4 linked regions of the Saccharomyces cerevisiae S288C genome follow. Changing the gene in region 4 together with the main gene of any one other region gives a genetic interaction. Each region holds a gene or a part of one and is shown on either strand. Other genes may lie near its edges.

Region 1 (5,140 bases), on a different chromosome or scaffold from region 4:
TGGTGTTGTTGGCAGGTAGAGTGTTGTGAGAAGATGATCTTCTACCAGGTCTTGGTCTTGGGGGCAAAACCCAATGTTTTGAAGTTCTAACCACCAAGCTAGACTTCTTCTTCTTTTTACTGCCATCGTTTTCGAATTCCAGCGAACTATTGTTATGATGGTTGGTATTTGGGGCGATCGGTACAGGCGCCAATGGAATATTATTATGCTCATTTTTAAAATGGTTACTACGAGGGCGACTAGCGGAGGCCTGTAGTAGAAAAGTCTTTGCGGTCATGATTCTTTTTTTGTTTTTTTTTTGTACTAGAAAATGTAGGTAAAACAAATCAGCAACCCATTAAAATGCTCTTTGATGTACTAGGAGACCAATAAATATGTGTGGAAAAAAAATAAAACTGTGTTTTTTCTCTTCCTATGCGTTTGATAATGATCTGCTCAAATAAATAATGACCCTTTTTTATTTTTCTGGTTCCTTTATAGTAGTATTTTTATATTATTAAGTGTAAAGTGGACCTGTAGATAGCATATACGATATAAAACTGGGGTTTAGAGAGGTGAAGGAATTAATAAAGGTAAAAAAATTAAAAGGAAAAAGGAGATGGACCTAAACAACCACACGGGGTTAAGCAAGAAGAAATTGATATAGGAGATTAGTTAATAGCTTTACAATATATATAATTTATCTAAAAACGATCTCATACTCAATAAATTTTTTTAGAGTAGTCTCGGAAAGAAAATAGCAATCCATTTACTTTTAGAACAATCTGCAAAATCGATACATGACACTTGGAAGCAACTGTGAAAAGGCTACGGCCATTGCTTACCGCGTGCAAGATCCGTAACATAAGAAAACTTTAGTCCTTGATGAAAGAAAATTTTCGTTTTTTTTTTCAGGTTCAGCGGGCTTAACCTCGTTTGCCGCCTCGGCCCCGCTCCGTTGTGCTGGCCATCTGTGCGCGGCGGGCTTCCCCCCCGTCGCTACTTCCGGATTAAACTTTTAGACTTCGGACCCCTGCCCCGGGGGGTTTCTCTGAACGCCGGGGTAGTGGTCCAAAGCCCACGAAACGCGTGTTCCTCTCAGCGGCATTGGAGTGAATAAAGCCCGCAGGACAGCCTTTTTTTTCCGGGCTGCACGACCGAATCAACTTGTCGCTCTATTCCTCCGTTGTTCCCGATTTGTAGCTCGGGGCCGACTCGCTTTTTGGCCAAGAAAATTGAGGAAAGCCCGTATTGCGGAGAAGGTTCTTATGTATTTGCCGTGCGATCAACCTCCGGGGCCCGGGTTTCAAATTCCGGCAATCATCCATGCCTAGTTTTGGAAATTCTCAGCAGAGGTTATCCCGTAAGGTGAAAAAAAGACATAAACGGTTTTTGCCTACAGTTTCCGGCAAAATAGTGATCTCATAGTACATCACTACTGCGAAGTCACCGGCCCGTACAGAAAAAGTATATCTTTAAATAGCGGCCCTACCTCTGCTTCTACCTACTTCATATTCGAATTCTTTTCTCGCCTTCCGCAGTGTTTCGCAAATCTGGACCTACGCACTAAATCATTTATGATTGTTCTCTCTTTCACGTGATAAGGTTTGCATTCTATTCGTTACCCTATTAATTATTACTATTTTTTTCAGCATGAGTTTTATTTCGCACATAAAATGCATCTATTTCTGGATATTACTGTAGTTTTCTTTGCTTTTCGCCTACCGCGCGGCGAAAAGTCGTATCAATCAATATGTGCCACTGCTATCATCCCTTGATAGAGTACAACGTAAAAGAGGCATTGTAGCATATTCACCCCGCTTGATAACTAGATTTTTTAGGCAAGAGTTGCGCACAGCGTACTGTGCACTACGGTATACAGAATTACACAATTGATACTTATTCTCTCCTTCATTGTTGCTCTGTTTCCGTTGTTTAAACTTTATCCAAAAACTCTGTTTTCTGTTTATTGAACCCCTTGCTTTCGCAAGCAAGCCCGACATATACGAACAGAACTGGGGAGAGGGAGTCTTATGCTGTACAACTCATGTAACCCCCACTATCTCAGGAGTTATATTAAATCAAGGCACGCCAGTGCTGCCTCTCTTGGTACGACAAACAAGTTTTTCCCGATTCTAGGTATTGCATTACATAATATCAACCCTTTGTTGTTTTCTTTTGATTTTTGAAAAGAAATATCTCATACCAACCGGAAAGGAAAAAGGACACAATTTGGGAAAATAGGCAATTTATTATGTACACAAGTCATAACCAAGAAAAAAGTAAGGGTAAAACAAGCAATTACTGAACTTGTTTCATGAGACTCATATCCAGAAGCATATTTATATAAGGAAATATTAGTTGCAAATCATTATGTCATTCCTTTCGCACACCCGATATGCTAAAAACAGCATACATGCACACTGCGCTTGGCTTGGACATATTCTCTCTGCATATGATGGAAAAAAAATCTTTTTTTTTCTTTTTCTTTGACTTTTTGCCGTTTTGTCATCGTCATCGCGATGGAAAAAGAAATGAAGAATACTTGATGAACAGGTGAAACTTGAACAATAACGTATCAGAATGAGGGTAAAGGGACCTTGTAAAACTTTTGAAAAAACTAAACAGGCAATTTAGTAAGAAGATGCCACTGGTGCTTTTTACGGGATACCCATGTAGTGGTAAGACAACGCTTGCTAAACATTTGGTACAACTACTACAGTCCAAGATCGATGCAACCCCATCATTAAGTAAATATTCCATAACCTATCATTCAGATGAATCTTTAGGCATAAAACATTCAGATTATATAACTTCCCAAGATGAAAGAAAATTGAGGTCGGAGATCATCTCCGCAGTGAAAAGAGATCTATCTAAAAACAAGATAGTCATTGTAGACTCGTTGAATTATATCAAGGGTTTCCGGTATCAACTTCACTGCGAGGTGAAAAATTTGTCCACCACATTTTGTGTAATTCAAACACTGTGTCCACCAGAGACTATATTCGAGTGGAATAAGACTTCAAACCCGAACCCTTGGGAACCCGAGTTATTGAATCAATTGATTCAACGATACGAAGAGCCTAACTCAAGCAACCGATGGGACTCTCCACTCTTTGCTATTCTTACTCCTCAGGACAACATAACTGACTACATCGACGATATTTGTAAAGTAGTCTTTCAAACTTCCAAATCGGCTAAAAACAGTGGACACAATGATCCGTTGAGTAAGGGCTTACAAAAACCGAACTCAGCCACGGTACTAAAGCCTGCGTCTCAGTCCAATTTCATCCAGGTTCTCGACATCGAAACTAGTAAGATAATAAAAACCATAATGAACCACATCAAAAGCCTGACTTCTATTGGCGGGGTAAGTAACGGAACAAGAGTCATTGTTTCCGAAGGGATTACCGATATCAATGATGATGGTTGCTTCTTCGTAGACTTGCCCATTGGTAACGTCGTTACGTTGGCGCAATTGCAGAGATTGAAAAGGCAATTCATTAACTTCAACAAACTAAGAGATATAGATCAAGATAGGATCGGTCCGCTTTTCGCTGATTATCTTAACAAAAACTTGAATTGAGATATACATGTGATTAATATCAGAAGGTAAATGGCAAGACGAAATTTGCTTGTTTATAATACAAAAAAACATACATAAGATATAATATATATTTCAATAGAAAAGAAAAAGTATAGAAAAGTGAATAAACAAAAGAAACATGAGAAAAATAGCTCGTCTTCTCAACTGGGTATCTATTGACCTCTTAATTCTGGTTGAATGTTTTCATCAGAAAGGTCTTCTTCATCATCGGCTTTCCCTATTAGTCCAGCAACATCTTCTTCATCGTGATGAGGTTGGCTATGATGGTTATTATGATGAGTTGTGTTCTTATTATACTGCGATTCTACATCCACGTCCACCATTACATCGTCTACGTCATCATCATTATTCTGGTGTAGATTCTCTACCTCTTTCAAATGCGATGACAGTAACCTTAACTGTTCCGCCACTTCATGTGGTAGTTTGTCGTCTTCATTTCTCTCTTCCAGTGTGATATCTGACAAATGCTGTCTTTTGGACTTGTGAGCATCTTCTGAATCCATATCGTTGATCAAGTTTTCATCTACCACGTTTCTCGACGAATTGTTATGGCCATCACCATTCTTGTCATCAATGGACCTCTTATAAGAATTGATCTTGTCTATGGCTAACTGAGCAGTTTCACGAGCTTCTTGAGCGTCTACTTCAGCCAAGGTTGGGTGGACATTTTCATTACCGCCATCGTTTGATTCATCTAGGCCAACCATGGACACGTCTGAATGAGTTATTTGATCTGGCTTGCTCCATTTATTGACGCTTGGCATCTTCTTGGGTTGATACCGGTGACTAGAGGTTTTATCTAGCACACTTTCCATTAAATTTGAGGCGTCATTATTATTGTTGCCGTTATTATCGTCATTACTGTCATTCTTGTTATTATTCACATTTTTGGTTGTGTTCGATGAGGTACCCGCACTTGATATTTCCTGATGTTTGGCGTAGTCGATAGAGTTACTTCTCAAGTTCGTGCCAGAAAGCTCACCATCGTTGTTATTGTTGTTATTGGAAGATGAAGAAGGTTGTAAATCATTATACTCGCCCATTTTTTTCTTTTTCAAAACAAATCTTGCTTTATACGTCGTTATACGTCTGGCTATTTGGGAAAGTAACCTTTTTTCGAAATCTTCGGCGGTTAATCCATATCTTTGCATTAAAATGTCTAAAAGACCGGACTCCTCCACGTAATGAGAAACTTTAAATTTACTCACTGTATGGTTAGAATTATTGTAAGAGCTTTCTAGTATTTGATCAAACTTTAAATCGTTTTGTAAAATCTTTGGAATCTTAGTTAGGATAAATTTACCCAGTGACAAGTTATCTTCTAGTGGGTGACTATGATAGGGCTCAATTTTGGTAACGACAAATGGGCCCGGTATATCATCGGTAGCAGAATTGAAGACGTCTAAATTCATAGACGTGTCTCGTATGGAGGATGGTGAGTGGGAGGAAATGCCGTGGCTACCGACATTGTTGTTATTGATATTGCTGTTATTGTTGTGATCGTTATTAGTATTATTATCTTGGCCATCATTGTTGTTAGTGGCATCATCGTCT
Region 2 (5,806 bases), on a different chromosome or scaffold from region 4:
GGTGAATTCTGTGAGAGTGGCCCCACCATTTAGCGGACCCTTCAACGGAAGCACAACCGAAGATAGCGTAGAATAATCTCAATGGCCAGTGAGCGGAGTAAGATCTGTGAGACCATAATCTATGGTAACCGGCAGTAATAGAAACACCACCGACAGCGTAGTAGAAAACGGAGAAAAGGAAAACGTTTAAATGCAAAGGCACTTTACCAGAGAGAGCAAAGTACCAACCAATCATTGGCATACCACAAACAAGAACCATGTTCAACCAGTTCAAATGTTGGTGCCAGTTATTCAAAGTCCATGGTTGTTCGGAGATGTGAATTTTAGTTTTAGCTTCTTCTTTTTCTTGGTTGTCCTTTTCTAGCAGACGATCCAAATTGGACTTCTTTTCGTTTCCCTTCTTGTCGAATTCCACGGAAACCATTTCCTTGGAGCCCATTAAAGAACCAAAACCGTTGACAATTCTTGGTGCTTTCTTATTCAAACCAGTAGCCAAAATATTAGCTTCCGTTAAGTCGACTTCGTCGACAATGCCACTGCTGGCAGAGTCATCCTTTGGAAATTGGTCGTCAATCAATTCAATAGTAGTTCCAGAAGTTGGCATCTTTGTTGTAATGTTTTAGTGCTGTTTATAATATGATCACCACAACTATCTATTACTATGATGTTCTATTCTACGTAATACAAAATATAAACGGAAACAGAAGTAGGAAAGATGGAAATAGAACAATAAATGAATCAAGATCTGCCCCCATATATATATGTATATGCTGATTTGCAAGACTCGATGAGCCAGGAGCCGATGATTTGCTGCATATATTGTTAACTACTATTATTTCCACCTTTGTGTGCCATCCCCATAGCCGTAACAATAGGGATAGGTGTGTCTGAGTGAGCAAGACTCGTAGAAGCACACCTGGTTGGGCACTAGATAAGGTTTGTTGAGTGTTCAACGTCCGAAAGAAAGCTGCCGACTATGCGAAGAGAACCTTAAGCCGTTATTACCTCTGCCTGTCACAGGCGATGTGATGCTAACGAACAGCACCAGAGCCAAGCCAACTGGGGCGGTCTGCAGAGAAGGCTGGGATACCCGAAATAGCTCGCTCAACAGCTTTTTTTCTTCTACGGAAGCCCACCAGATAAGCGCCTTTGTTGGGCCCGCTAACCCCGGGACATGCCCGGGCTCGGAGTTAGTTTTTGGCCACCGGGCGCCCGAAAAATGCTTCAGAAAAGAGCCATAGTCACGGAGAATCTTGACGTGCATAATGATTAGATATGACACCCTCATTCTCATTTGGATTTATTATCACGTGATGGTATAACCCGGACTGGAACTACATATCCGCTAATCCTTGACTTATTTCCATGTGTCATTTATTTTTTTTTTTTTTTTTTTTCCTTTTTTTTTTCCGCCCGGCAAATGAAATGAAAAATGGGTGATGGAGAAACCATGAGGTTTTTGAGAAATTTCACAGATGACTATAAACTTAGCGATATCATCTCGTACAGAAAAGTAACCAAACCTGCAAACGAAAAGCTTACTTTTGTTAAAAGCGTATCAAGCTAGCGATACGAATACCTCAGAACATCATCTTTTCAGCAAGACCCACCCAATGCCTCAAAATACAAGACACACGTCCATCGTAGAAATGCTTTCTACCCCACCTCAATTACCGAATTCCACAGATTTAAATAGTTTGAGCGAACAGACAGACAAGAACACTGAAGCAAACAAAAGCGACACAGAATCACTACATAAATCTATTTCGAAATCGTCATCTTCATCTTCTCTCTCCACGCTGGATAACACGGAATACTCAAACAATAATGGCAACTCCTTGTCCACCTTGAATTCACAGAATCTGTTATCTGTTCATAGGCAGGAGTGGCAACACACTCCTCTGTCAAATTTGGTGGAACAGAACAAATTGATTTTCATCAGAGGTTCTATTTCCGTAGAGGAAGCATTCAACACGCTGGTCAAGCACCAGCTAACGTCTTTGCCTGTGGAGAATTTTCCGGGAGACATGAATTGTTTAACATTCGACTATAATGATCTCAATGCGTACCTTCTTCTTGTATTAAACAGGATCAAGGTGAGCAACGACAAGATAACCTCAGACTGCCAGAATGGTAAGTCCGTGCCCGTGGGCGAGATAGTAAAGTTGACACCTAAGAATCCATTCTACAAATTGCCCGAAACGGAAAACTTATCGACGGTAATAGGCATACTAGGCTCAGGTGTGCATCGTGTTGCCATCACGAACGTGGAAATGACACAGATTAAAGGTATACTTTCCCAACGTCGATTGATTAAGTATCTGTGGGAGAATGCGAGATCATTTCCCAACTTGAAGCCTCTCTTGGACTCTTCCCTGGAGGAGCTGAATATTGGTGTACTAAATGCAGCCCGTGATAAACCTACATTCAAGCAGTCACGTGTCATATCCATCCAAGGTGACGAGCATCTAATTATGGCTCTGCATAAAATGTATGTCGAAAGAATCTCTTCCATTGCGGTAGTTGACCCGCAGGGAAACTTGATTGGTAATATTTCAGTAACAGACGTCAAACACGTCACCAGAACTTCACAATATCCTTTATTACACAATACATGTCGTCATTTTGTCTCGGTTATTTTGAATTTAAGGGGCCTAGAGACCGGTAAGGACTCATTTCCTATTTTCCATGTGTATCCAACAAGTTCCCTGGCAAGAACGTTTGCCAAATTGGTCGCTACCAAATCTCACAGATTATGGATAGTACAACCAAATGACAATCAACCAACAGCATCTTCCGAAAAATCCTCATCTCCATCACCAAGTACTCCACCCGTAACGACATTGCCATCGCTTGCGTCGTCATACCATTCGAACACGCAATCTTCCAGGATGGCCAACTCTCCTGTTCTAAAATCTTCAGATACATCAAACAATAAAATAAATGTAAATATAAATTTGAGTGGTCCCTCACCTTCTCAACCACAGTCTCCATCGGCCACAATGCCACCACCTCAAAGTCCAAGTAATTGTCCCGCATCTCCAACTCCAGCACATTTCGAAAAGGAGTATAGAACAGGTAAATTGATAGGTGTTGTGTCATTGACTGACATATTAAGTGTTTTGGCAAGAAAACAAACGCATCATAAGGAAATTGATCCGCAGATGGCAAGAAAGCAAAGAGGGCATATAGGCTGAAACAAACCAGACGAAAAAAACTGGCTTCATTTAACTACATATACATATATAAGGGTTTTTCTGATTTTTATTTTATCCCAATAAAGTTTGATTTTTTTTTTTTTACTTTTATTATGCACTGGGGCGAGGTTTTTAGGCCCTTTCTTTTCTTAGAGGAAATATATACACATGTTCTCGCTAAAATCAGTTAAAAGGTCCGATTGAGATGGTACTGTCAAATGTTAAAATCTTCAGATTAAAATCGCATAGAGCCTTCAGAATCGGTCCCATGATTAAAGCAGTCGCAGGAAATCTTTTGGTAAAGAGATTTTATCAACCAAAATTAGAAAGAATTCCACCGGCTTCACTGCTTTTGAAGCAGAAAATACGGTTAGCTCAAAATGGCAGTACTACATCTACAGAAAACCCCATTTCCTTCTCACAGACCATGTCCGAGATATTTAGCGTCTTGCAGCCAAGTGCACCAGATCTAGATGAAGACGAAACAAGTGGTTTGAAACGCGATCATTTATTAACTGAGCGTCTAAACAACGGCGAGCTTGGTGTCATTATGAACAAATTCTTCAATCCGTCTTCGACACATAACAATCAGTTGATAGATACGAATATATTACTTCAGAATTTTCCTAAGTTAAGTGGTAATGACTTAGATTTATTGGATTTTGCCATAAATGAGAAAATGCGAGGAAACTGGAATGATCTAAAGCAAGATTTCATTCAGTTGTGGTACTACAAGTCATTTGGCTTTCTTGGACCTCGAACTCAATTTGTCCTGACAAACTCTTCTCCGTCAGTTAGGTCCCAATTCTTGAAACTTCCATTCATCGAATATAATTGGTTTCTCCTACAAAATAACAAAAACGCAAATATACTACCTGCTGATGTGCAAAACGTGGTCAAGGTGTTTCATCTTGATGATAAAAGGTTTACTTGGAAGAGCATAGATCCATTCAGCAAAGCTATAATTTCATTCGTCGTTTTTGTTTCCATATATGTGTGGTTGGATGAAAGTGCAAAACAAAAAACGAAGGAGCTGCCCGCACAGAAGAGTACTGTAATATCAGAATAAAAAAAAATGGGGTCACTCTTCATTCTTGCAGTTAAAAGTGCCACTCACTCATGATTTTTTTTTTTCCTGTTTTTTTGATTTTTTTTATATATTATACATTAAGTTATCTAAGTAAATATATTCTTTCTACTCTAAATAAGTATTCCTTGAATCAAACACAAAAGATACGGGTATCGGCAGTTATAACCGATAACAAATTGTCCTTATTTCTCATTTCACGTTATTTTCTCCAAAGAAATTTATGGTAGAGCAGTGTTTCTTTTTAGTATATTATTTATATGCAATGTTTCTATCATTATTAAATTTTCTTTACGGTATAAAGTAGAAGATGGAGGAATAGAAAGCAAACGGATCGATAGAGAAAGAAACTCACGATGAAGCCCTATATTTGATTGAACAAAAAGGTAATCGAATTCATAATATCGGCTCGGCATTCATCATTAAGATTCTTTTGATTTTTCTCAGTCTGCTTCGTCGTCGTCGTCGTCGTCATCATCATCATCATCATCGTCCATATCGTCCATATCATCCTCCCAAGATTTCTCTACCGTCTCCTTAACTCTTTTGACGTACTGTGATTTATGATCTTTGAATAATGTTGCAGCTTCAACGTTTGCTGGCGAAGCTGGATTTGGATCGTTGAATAAACTTTGAATGGATGTCAATATGGATGCGACATCATATGTTGGAGTCCATCTGTTCTGCAAAATATCCAAACAAATTTCACCATTTGCATAGACATTGGGATGAAACATTTCACTCAAAAATTTGACATGCGGTGGCTTATTGGGATATTCTTCATCAAACTCCAACAATAACCTAAAAGTTCCGTCTTCATATGGAGTATCGGCTGGCCCGATAATCATGGCGTTCCATACCATGACGTTATCAGGTAATGGTGAAGCAGATACACCCGGTGGGGCATCTTCCTTCATACGTTTAAAATCTCTCATCAACCTTCTTCTAGCTGGTGTGGACATGACGCTTTATCTTTTAGTCTCTGTCTGCCTAAAAATAATCTTTGGAATTCGATCTTCGTTGATTTTCCACTCTACTATTTATGTCATCAACTCTGCAACTTGATAGTTCTTTCCTTTTTTTCTCTTACACATTCCATTCGCTTTCATTTTTATTTTTCCAGCTTTCTACTCCGGCTACCCGGAGGTGCCTTTTTGTATATACATACACTAATCCGGGAAATGTAGTCACCATACTAATATTCCGAATATGTATTTGTTCCTTGGTATATAGTGTAAGCATGGTTAGCTCACACTTTATCTAATTGTAGTTTCTTCGTATGCTTCATCAAGTTGCCTAATTTTAATACAACATCGGTACCATATCCAGGCATTGAATGCAATGAAAGGTCGCCGTTCCAATATTCAGCATACACTTTACACATGGCTAACCCAATCCCAAGCTTGTATCTAAAAGACCGCTTTAACAATTCAATTAGGGGAGTTTCATATTTGATGTGCCCATTTATGATGCTAGGATAACTCATTGGTTCTAGCGACGTGTGCATGTACGGTTTTAATGT
Region 3 (5,694 bases), on a different chromosome or scaffold from region 4:
ATCTTCCGGGAATTGGCCCGTGTAGTTATTGGGCATTTCATAGGACATGGTTCTCGACAGGTCTTGTTGCGTCAGTTCACACTCCGGTTCCAAGTTGACGTTAAACCTTGTTCTCGCCTGGATGAGGTTCCTGCCAATTTCCAATAGATTCTGATAGATCAAGGGGATGTACTCTTTAATTTCCTGCTCGCTAAACCCGTTCTGGTGTAAAATCTTCAACTGCTGCAATACCGTGGACTTACCACTTTCACCGGCACCCAGCAGTAGCACTTTCAGTTCTTTGTCGTTGCTGCCACTTGAAGCGTCCGACAATGATGGTTGTGCTGCAACGTTACTCGACCTGTCTCTCAGGGCAGAGTCGATATTGATCTGTTGCGATCCGCTTGTATTTGCCGTAGCCGTGGGAGATATCGCGTTATTAATGCTCCCGTTTTGCTCCTTGCGGTCCTTAACATTATGCGGAGACGGCTGCTGCTGCCTCTGTTGTTGCTTTTCTTGTTGATTTGCTGTGTTGACTGTTCTCACAGTCTTCTGTGGCTCCTGCTTTGGTGGTACCTTCGCTTTGCCAACGTTGTCACTACCAGCGCTGGCGGTCTGCGTGTCAGGAGTGCTGCCGTTCTTTTCTGAAGATGCGCAGAGACCCATGATATTTGCTTGAAAATACGCGTGATTTGTGCTGTAACAATAAGGCTCGCTGTGATAGCAATTGCTCACTTTTATACCTATCGATTGCTCTTTGGGTAGTGAGAACCAAACCTACCTAAAGTTTTTCCACCCCTTCAGTCTAAGGCTGCACGCACGCGCCTATAAATCCTGCTGCTTATTAACTTTTTTTTTCGGTGCAGTATGCAAGAGGATAAGAAGAATCATTTGGGCGCAGCTGAGGGGGCTTGAACATGATGAAGTAAGGGAAGAAGAAATCGCGAACGAGGCAGTAGTCATGTTTTGTGACTGAATTGGCGGACTTCATTTTACTCCAGACATTTACTTAATGTGGAGCACGCCGGGCGCAGGGATCGTAATATATGGTATATCTTTAGTAATTATAAGTTTGATTCTGCCCCGGGTACCACGGGTTACCCGTTTCCTTAGCCTTTTGGATTTCGTCTTTTTTTTTTTCCTCCATTTTCACTTTTTCATTCAGTTACTAACTGGCCAAAAGAGACATTTTAGATATAAGAGGTATGAGAGAGTAGATATATGTGCGTGTGAGAAAAGGTAAGGGGCGCAAAGCATAAAACAGGTGGTATTATCGATCAACAGTATCATAAGAATGGCAGCTTCAGTTCCACCAGGAGGTCAGCGTATCTTGCAGAAGAGAAGACAGGCACAATCCATTAAGGAAAAGCAAGCAAAACAAACGCCCACTTCCACCAGACAGGCTGGTTACGGTGGGTCTTCAAGCTCAATTTTGAAGTTATATACGGACGAAGCCAATGGATTCAGAGTCGACTCCCTTGTCGTATTGTTCCTATCTGTCGGTTTCATCTTCTCCGTGATTGCTTTGCATCTATTGACGAAATTTACACACATTATATAATATCAGTAATTTTTTTACATATGCTAAAGAAAATCGATAATATCATTTCTCGCTCAAGAAAGTTTGCAGGTGGTGCTCCGCGTCCAGAACCTCTTGTTCGACTTCGATGAGGGCTCTGATTTCAGACCTGCCAAACAAGAAGGAGATGGCACCGTCGATGGTGCCCGAGATGGAGACAGCAATAGCGAAAAGGACCCAGAAGATGGAGGACCAGCCTGCCTTGTTTGCAGTAAACGTTGTCACGACCAACGACGCTATTAGGAGAAGTATTGAGGCCCAGAAATGTAGGCCACGGAAAAATTTCTGTCTTTGGGCTGTCTTCAAGTACGTGTGGATGCATTCTATCATGGTTTCGTAGTTGGAGTATCTCTGCAAGATCAGCTCTCTATCATGAGTCTTCGCACGCTTAACGGAGGTGGATGGACGGGACTCTGTGCCCTGTGGGACGATGTTAAGGGTGCATGAGTATGCAAAATGGTCAGAGACACTGCAGTCCAGGTGAGGGATCCGTTCAGTGAACCTGACACCTGCGTCTACTGTTTGCAAGAAATCAGGGTCGATAAGAGCATAATCCAACCTGCATGCCTCATCGGGTTGTCTTTGGGCCCTCCATGTGTTGAGCAGCGAATCGCACGTGGTACAGCCCTTAAGCAATTGTTGCAATGGAGACAGACGAGCGATCACCGCCAAGTCTTGCTTCCCATGCAATTGCTCCCAGGAGTCGACCAGGCCGGCCTCCTGCGTGAGAAATTTGTGGGGCAGTGAGCCCGGTCTGGAGTTTAAGTCACCCACCACAATCACCGCATAACCGGCCTGCCTGTAAAGCTTAATGAGCCTGCTGAAATCCCAGGCCTGACAAGATCTGTGGCACAAGTAGGCGGCATCACCCTGCTTGGCGTATGGGGCGTGCATGTGACTGTTCATTATTGCAATGGGGCGGGTTCCTGTGTTCAATACGGTGATTGCTATAGATTTCCCTACGTACCAGTCGCCACGGAACACCGCACTCGGTCTACCGTTTATCGGGAACCGGTAAAGAAAGGTCGACTCTATCGGGACCTTGGACAGTATGGCCAACCCAGGCCCCGTCAGAATACCAGAATGGAACAAACGCTGATACGGATACTTGGAGGCACACGCAGAAGCTAGATACTTCCAGTCTTCCACACACCAGATTTCTTGTAAGGCAATCACGTCGTAATCTTCGTTTTCATTACTATCTCCACCATTGGGCAACAACTCGTCAGATATTGGCGTAAGCATTGAGTGGCCCGCCAATTTATCAGCAATTGCTCTGAGTCTTTCTTTACGGTGTTTGGAGACGTATTTTAACCCCCATGTATTGAAGGTCAGAAACTTTATGGAATACGCTTTACTATTATCGGACATAATTGCGTTGGTCCCGTTCAGTGCTTCAAACTCAGATTGACCATCTTCCTTCCTCTCGTGAACATCTCTGTCTTTTCTGTTGTACATATATCTGCTTTTTTTCCCTTTTTACGCGGAAAGCGCAAATTTCCTCGAAGATTTAAGCCAAACCAAAATAAATCAAACCAAACCAAAACAAAACAAAAACAAAAACAAAAACAGGCTAAGCCGATTCAATTAAAACCGCTCATACGTATACAACACATACACACATACAAGAATGGCCAGCATAGACGCATTTTCGGACCTTGAGCGCCGGATGGACGGGTTCCAAAAGGACGTGGCCCAGGTACTGGCACGTCAGCAAAACCACGCGCGCCAACAGCTGCAACAGTTCCAAGCGGAAATGCGTCAATTACATAACCAACACCAACATCTCATAGATGAACTGCAACGGCTTGCCACCCAGCGCACCGCTCTGCAGCAACAAATACATGCGGCCCAACAAGCTACAAATACCACCAGAGAGCAGTGGAGAAGCTATCACGAGCGTGAATCTGAGTTATCTAGACGGCAGTCGACCTTAGCAGCCCAATCGCGCGAGCTGGACTCGCTGCTGCAACAGCGTGGTAAAGAGTGTGTCCAATTACGCGCACGTTGGGCTGCGCAGTCGGGTAACGATGCCGCAGAGGTCGCACTGTACGAACGGCTGTTGCAGCTTCGTGTACTACCCGGAGCCAGCGATGTGCATGACGTACGTTTCGTATTCGGCGATGATTCACGCTGCTGGATCGAAGTCGCGATGCACGGAGACCACGTGATCGGAAACTCTCACCCGGCGCTGGACCCCAAGAGTCGGGCAACACTTGAGCACGTGCTTACCGTCCAGGGCGACCTCGCGGCATTTTTAGTCGTGGCCCGCGATATGCTTCTGGCATCTTTATAACGCCTTTATACGCATCTGTTCAGTTTATTCTGGGCCTATGATTTAGATGAGGAATAAATTGGTTCTTACTGTCTATACATAACTTTTACAAGGACCCATTCTATATTAAAGGAGATTAACGCAGTCTTCAAATAAAGGCATCATCCACTTATTTTATAATATACTAAGTGATGATGATGTGGCAACGATATGCAAGGGGTGCGCCACGCTCATTGACATCACTCTCATTTGGTAAAGCTAGCCGCATATCAACAGTGAAGCCAGTGCTTCGCTCGCGCATGCCAGTTCACCAGCGTTTGCAGACGTTATCTGGTCTGGCAACCAGAAACACAATACACCGTTCTACCCAAATACGTTCCTTCCATATCTCATGGACAAGGTTAAATGAAAATAGGCCAAACAAAGAGGGTGAGGGCAAGAACAATGGTAATAAAGATAATAATAGCAATAAAGAAGATGGCAAAGACAAAAGAAATGAGTTTGGTTCATTATCAGAATACTTCAGATCTAAGGAATTTGCTAATACGATGTTTTTGACCATCGGATTCACAATTATATTTACTTTGCTCACACCTTCCAGTAACAACTCAGGAGACGACTCTAACCGCGTCTTGACTTTCCAGGATTTCAAAACAAAATACCTGGAGAAGGGTCTTGTGTCCAAGATTTACGTCGTTAATAAGTTTCTCGTAGAGGCCGAATTAGTCAATACAAAGCAAGTTGTATCGTTCACCATTGGTTCAGTAGATATTTTTGAGGAACAGATGGACCAGATCCAGGACCTCTTGAACATTCCTCCTCGGGATCGTATCCCCATCAAATACATTGAGAGATCTTCTCCCTTCACATTTTTGTTCCCCTTCCTGCCCACCATCATTCTGCTTGGTGGCCTTTACTTCATAACCAGAAAAATAAATAGTTCACCACCAAATGCCAATGGTGGTGGTGGAGGAGGCCTCGGCGGCATGTTTAATGTTGGAAAATCCAGAGCAAAGCTCTTCAATAAGGAAACAGACATTAAAATTTCATTTAAAAATGTTGCCGGTTGTGATGAAGCTAAACAGGAAATCATGGAATTTGTTCACTTTTTGAAGAACCCAGGTAAGTACACTAAATTGGGTGCCAAGATTCCACGAGGCGCTATTCTTTCTGGACCCCCAGGTACCGGTAAGACTCTCTTGGCCAAGGCCACCGCAGGTGAGGCGAACGTGCCCTTCTTGTCAGTATCAGGTTCTGAGTTCGTCGAAATGTTCGTTGGGGTGGGTGCTTCACGTGTAAGAGACTTGTTTACTCAAGCAAGGTCTATGGCCCCCTCGATTATCTTTATAGATGAAATTGACGCTATCGGTAAAGAAAGAGGCAAAGGCGGCGCTCTCGGTGGCGCTAACGATGAAAGAGAAGCTACGCTGAATCAATTATTGGTGGAAATGGACGGATTCACTACTTCCGACCAAGTCGTAGTCCTTGCGGGTACAAATAGGCCCGATGTGTTGGATAATGCTTTGATGAGACCGGGAAGGTTCGATAGACATATCCAAATTGATTCTCCTGATGTCAATGGTAGGCAGCAAATATACCTGGTTCACTTGAAAAGACTGAATCTGGATCCCCTTCTTACAGATGATATGAATAATCTTTCTGGGAAATTGGCTACGCTTACTCCAGGTTTTACTGGTGCAGATATCGCTAATGCTTGTAATGAGGCTGCATTAATCGCTGCCAGACATAATGACCCATATATCACTATCCATCACTTTGAGCAAGCCATTGAAAGAGTCATTGCGGGACTAGAGAAGAAAACAAGAGTCCTTTCTAAGGAAGAAAAAAGGTCAGTGGCCTA
Region 4 (5,144 bases):
CTTTCAAAAAAGAAAGAAGAAAATTGGTGAAGAGGAAATGTGCTTTTCTGTTGGAGTTGGTCAACAATATGATGAGGAAGAAGGGAAAGCCGCAAAGACTGGATTTACGCAATGGACTACATTCTCATGTGAAAAAAAGAAGTGCTGCTTCGAAGGTTCGCGACCCTTTCAAGGGACTCGCCGCGATGCAGAGAAAAAAAAAAGAAGAGATAACGTGGGGGCAGCTAAAAAAAGACGAATCGATAATGAGTCCATGACTTGAGCCGGACGGACTTATAATTCGATTCGGGCCTAGGCTTGTACAGCTGAAATAGTGTACAATATAAGGAACTAAACGATCGGAGACCAATCGGAGAGCCGGCAGTTGAATCAGGTGCTTCATCACTGGCATAACCTATCCGCAAACGGCTGATGCAGGTCTCAACGCCCTTCTGGTAAAATCAAAAAAAGTAAAAAAAACGGCTCATGCCAGCTTGCTTCCTGTCAATAGCGGTTGTTGATTTTTTCGCTTCATGCCTAAAAAGAGAAACGAGACACAGAGAGAAAACAAGAATCTAGATTAATAACGTAGGGCAGCGTAACAATAATTTACGCAGAAATGATGTGTATTATTAGGGCATAAATAAATAAATGTATGTATGTGTGTGTATGTATGAGTCGGTGAATGACTTTGGTTTTAGTGATATGAGTAGCCACATCCTTTCCCCACGTGCTTATTTAGCCAGACGTCAACGTTCGGAAATTGCAGTCCACAATGCTTGCACTTCCCCGGCACAACACCTCTATCTTCTTTCTTGGTCTTGGGCGGGTACTCGAAATGCAAAGCCTTTAGGTGATTCTTGAAAGTATCACAGCGCGAAAAAACGCCCGTTTGATGACAGTTTATTGGCTCGAAATAGAGTGATCTAGACTTGTGTGGATACACCTCCATATCCAAATTGATCAGAGTAGAGTTGTAAGGACACTTGAATGCACCTTTAATCTTGTATAGTGATTTCAATTGGTTTTTCTTCAGTAGTTTTGTTTCTTCGGAAGAGGATGAGGCAGCGAGTTTATCGTTTGAGTCGTCGCTGTCGTTGTTTGCGGAGGTGCGGGCAGTGTCATCTTGATCGTCAGCACCACTATTGTTGTCGGACTCCCTTGCGTATATTTGCATAAATTCATCTTTCCAATGGCGCTTCTTGTGCCTTATCAGATCATTGTTCCTGGCAAAGCCGCGTTGACAGATAGGGCACTTATGCGGTCTGTCCTCCGGAGTTAAATGAGTGGATTTATGCGTAGATAGGTTGGCGTAGAAGTTGTGGCAGATGGGGCATTCCTTTTTCTTTCTTTGCTTCGTTATCTTGGCGGAATCCTTTAAAGACGATGAATACCTGCTTGTATGTTCATTAGTCAATGGGGAATGAATAGACGGTAGTGCAGAGGCACTACTACTACTGTTGAGTTGCTGTTGCTGTTGTTGTTTGACGATCAAAGGTGGGAATCCACTAACGGGTAGGCTGGACACGGATTTTGATCTCGGTACGTTATCTACCGCGGTTGGCAATATACTCTGGTGTTGAGTTGGTGGTGAGGGGGTGATGGTTTTGAAACCCGTTGTGTTGTTAGGGTTGCAAAATGTTAGCTCATGTCTGTGATGATCTAGCACTGTTCTTGGCACCGGTGATGTAAAATTGGCATGCAAGGAATTTGATCTGCCGTTAAATTCTCTTTCTGCAACTGTAATTAAATTGGTGAAGGAGGATATGGGTGGCAAAATGACATGGCTTGAGCTGTTGGATGACAGCGGTGTTGGAGAAAGGCTATGAGGGAAATAGCATTTGGAATTATGTGCCAAGGCTGTATTGTCTGTAGGCGAACTCGTGATAGACTGGCATGCAGAGGAGTTATAAGAAGAGTATGATGTAGTTAATGGGGGAGGTGGAGGAGAATTCAGTGTAGAACTGAGGGTAGAGCGCGAAGACGACGTAGTACTGGACAACAATGGCAGTGATGGATCTATCAAATGGTGAATGGTGCCATTGGGAGAAGCCGTTGGGTTTGGCATTTTTTCTGGAGTATCTATAAAGGGAGGGTTTCTCCGTAAAGACATCGTCTCATGGGACATTACTGAGTCAATGCTTGATGCAAAAGATGATGATACCAGCATAGGGGAAGCCAAAGAAAAGAAGTAACAAATATTCCAAGCGCTCCAGTGTTACAGCTACTGCAAACCAAGAAAAGCAACTGACAAGAATTAGATATCCTAATCATAGGGCACCGAATTTACTTCCATGTTTTTTCCAGCTCCACTTAGAATATATATATAAATGTATAAAGACGGAAATATGCGCTTTTGAGAAATAGACAGAATAAAGAACGCACTGATGCAGCTTTAACTTTTAAGAAATGGTGCTTTTTTTTTCGCCCTCTGTTCCTCTGCGGATGGGAGCTATCAGTAGTAGAAAACAAAAGGAAACGAAGAAAAAAAATTGGAAAAGGGAAGAGTAAAACAGCGAGGAGAGCATTACGTACATAAAATAGGTTTAAGTAACCATACCACTAACAATGCCCCTAGGAAGTGACAATCTAGAGATATCCTTGAGAGTTAGCCACGGGCCGTAAGGGAAGGAAAAGACCAATCTAGCAATAAGCGCATGGGGGGTTTCCGACAGCCACTACCAAATTGTGTGGCAGCCAAGCGAGAATCAATGCGGCTATTTGAGATCTGTTCTTTTTCTATTCAAAGACTCGAATGAGGCCAACGAAAGAAGTAGTAAAAAAAATCCGGGATTCCCAATTCAGGTCATATCCGGCAAGACATTCCCGGATTTTATTTTCCTCAATGTGCTCGTGTAAGTGTCGGCCCGGAACTTGATTCCCCCCGGACTAATTAGAAGTTCCGAGAACGCGCGCAAGCCGTCCCGCGCGTAGAAGGCTAAAAAGCAGCCGGAGGAAAAAAAATAACGCAAATGTGGGCTCCCCTTCCCCTGTGCGGCCACGTCGTGCCTCCCCACCATTTGCCTCATATGCGGCCATTGCGTGTGGTGTTTTTTCTGCTCTTGTCACTGATTTTAACTACCGCGGGGTTTGACTAACAAGCAAATTGCAAAGCCGCGGCGGTTCCCGGAAAAAAAAAAAGGAAGGCCACGCTATTGGTAACCATGAAGTGTAAGGCGACGCAGGAGAGATGAAAAGAATGAAATTAAAAGAAATCCAAAAAAAAAAAAAAAAAAAAAAAAGAAAAAGAAAGAAAAAGGGGGAATAACACAGCCGCGGGTAACATGAAGCGGCGCGAGCGATACTTCCGTGTTAAGTGATATCCATCTTTCTGCGGGTAATAAGTCTAGTCAAGTCCGCTGTATTTTTTCTTTCGCTCTCGCTCTCTTTCTCTCTTCGCTCATGGAGCGGTAAAAAAAAAACATGCATATCGAGTCGAAGCCCAGCAAAATTAAAAAAAATATAGCCTTCAGTGGAAACCCAGTGATGCTCGCACACAACGTAATGGAGCATTGAAGAGCTACAGACGGTAGATAAAAAAGAAAAAGAAGCAATACAATAGGTTATTGCATACTATCATAAGCATACAGATAAAGGAGTTCTGCACATACGGTCCCTCTTTCTCTTCCTATTATTCTTCAGTCCCCTCCTCGCTCTTTTTAGATTCGACATTACAAGGTGAAATACTATTGAAGCTCAAAAACATCCATAATAAAAGGAACAATAACAATGGTATCTAGAGGCCCCGACGAATGGCTTGAAACAATAAAGAAATGCCAGGCGCTAACTGAAAACGAGATGAAACAACTGTGTGAAATGGTGAAAGAACTTTTGATGGAGGAAAGTAACATCCAGCCGGTACAGACCCCCGTTACTGTATGTGGAGACATACACGGCCAATTTCATGACTTGTTAGAGCTATTCCGTACGGCGGGTGGCTTTCCTGACGATATAAACTACATTTTTCTCGGTGATTACGTGGATCGTGGCTACTATAGTCTGGAAACTTTTACGCTTTTAATGTGTCTGAAAGTCAAGTACCCGGCAAAGATAACTTTGGTCAGAGGAAACCATGAGTCCAGACAAATTACTCAAGTTTACGGGTTCTACGAGGAATGCCTGAATAAGTACGGATCTACCACCGTATGGAAGTATTGCTGTCAAGTTTTTGATTTCCTGACGCTGGCCGCTATAATTGACGGTAAGATCTTATGTGTCCATGGAGGGTTATCTCCCGAGATTAGAATGCTCGATCAAATCAGAGTCTTGTCAAGAGCTCAAGAAGTGCCACACGAGGGTGGGTTCTCGGACCTGCTTTGGTCAGACCCTGACAATGTAGAGGCTTGGCAAGTTTCCCCTCGTGGTGCAGGATGGCTCTTTGGCAGTAAAGTTGCTAGAGAGTTTAACCACGTTAATGGACTGAACCTTATTGCCCGGGCTCACCAACTGGTTATGGAGGGGTTCAAGTACCATTTTCCTGAAAAGGACGTTGTAACCGTGTGGTCCGCGCCAAATTACTGTTATAGATGTGGTAATGTCGCGAGTGTAATGAAGGTCGATGAGGATCTGGAACCTACTTTCAAAATTTTCTCGGCTGTTCCCGATGACTACATAAGAGAATCCACGGCAAACCATAATAATCAAAGAGCCGGCTATTTCTTATAACACGACGGCATGCCCTCCCTAACTCGACGAATAAAAATAATTTTCACAATAAAAAAAAGACTACAAAAATCAGAAACTTTTTCATTACGCCATTTGCTACGATACGATACACAACAAGCACATTCTAAGAGCATTCCATTTACTATGGTCAAAATGACCAAATAAAAAATTAAAAAAAAAAAGAAGGAATGAGAACTAGTAACTACATATTCAACAATTGCAGTTTTCTTTTCCTTTTTGTCCTTGTCCTTTCTTTCCTATTTATATATATATATATATATATATATAATACTACTATGTTATATTACATTATATTATTATCACAATAATTATTACGTTCATCGTGCCGAAACGTCACCTCCCACGGTTTGGATCTATTGAAAGAGGGTGGAATCCCTGATAATAAAAAAACTTTAATCAACACTCGGGAGGGGAAATATAAAAGACTGGCGCTACTTAAAGAGCTGATTCGCCAAGGCAGAAAAGCATAACCATATTAA

Evidence for each region.
Region 1: of SIT4 (region 4) and KTI12, a mutation in one rescues a mutant of the other (synthetic rescue), as found in Saccharomyces cerevisiae (one study listed by BioGRID).
Region 2: of SIT4 (region 4) and SDS23, a mutation in one rescues a mutant of the other (synthetic rescue), as found in Saccharomyces cerevisiae (2 studies listed by BioGRID, with this or other methods).
Region 3: of SIT4 (region 4) and ISC1, changing one suppresses a phenotype caused by changing the other (phenotypic suppression), as found in Saccharomyces cerevisiae (4 studies listed by BioGRID, with this or other methods).

What each region holds. Positions count from the first base shown.
Region 1 is NC_001143.9:227,364-232,503, reverse strand, and holds KTI12 (Kti12p), read left to right. Parts: upstream 1-2,623; coding exon 2,624-3,565; downstream 3,566-5,140. Other genes in the region: transcription factor HAP4, read right to left, coding at 1-277; DNA-binding protein ABF1, read right to left, coding at 3,739-5,140. UniProt on the Saccharomyces cerevisiae protein: Elongator complex-associated factor that is not a structural subunit but rather transiently contacts the complex.
Region 2 is NC_001139.9:393,426-399,231, reverse strand, and holds SDS23 (Sds23p), read left to right. Parts: upstream 1-1,613; coding exon 1,614-3,197; downstream 3,198-5,806. Other genes in the region: OLE1 (stearoyl-CoA 9-desaturase), read right to left, coding at 1-604; GEP7 (Gep7p), read left to right, coding at 3,403-4,266; E2 ubiquitin-conjugating protein RAD6, read right to left, coding at 4,728-5,246; protein kinase PKP2, read right to left, coding at 5,534-5,806. UniProt on the Saccharomyces cerevisiae protein: Involved in DNA replication and cell separation during budding.
Region 3 is NC_001137.3:190,119-195,812, reverse strand, and holds ISC1 (inositol phosphosphingolipid phospholipase), read right to left. Parts: upstream 3,017-5,694; coding exon 1,583-3,016; downstream 1-1,582. Other genes in the region: GPA2 (guanine nucleotide-binding protein subunit alpha), read right to left, coding at 1-645; Arf family guanine nucleotide exchange factor SBH2, read left to right, coding at 1,274-1,540; kinetochore-associated Ndc80 complex subunit SPC25, read left to right, coding at 3,189-3,854; AAA family ATPase AFG3, read left to right, coding at 4,025-5,694. UniProt on the Saccharomyces cerevisiae protein: Responsible for the hydrolysis of the phosphosphingolipids (IPS), inositol phosphorylceramide (IPC), mannosylinositol phosphorylceramide (MIPC), and mannosyldiinositol phosphorylceramide (M(IP)2C).
Region 4 is NC_001136.10:366,063-371,206, forward strand, and holds SIT4 (type 2A-related serine/threonine-protein phosphatase SIT4), read left to right. Parts: upstream 1-3,708; coding exon 3,709-4,644; downstream 4,645-5,144. Other genes in the region: STP4 (Stp4p), read right to left, coding at 677-2,149. UniProt on the Saccharomyces cerevisiae protein: Involved in the dephosphorylation of the large subunit of RNA polymerase II. Is required in late G1 for normal G1 cyclin expression, bud initiation and expression of certain genes that are periodically expressed during late G1.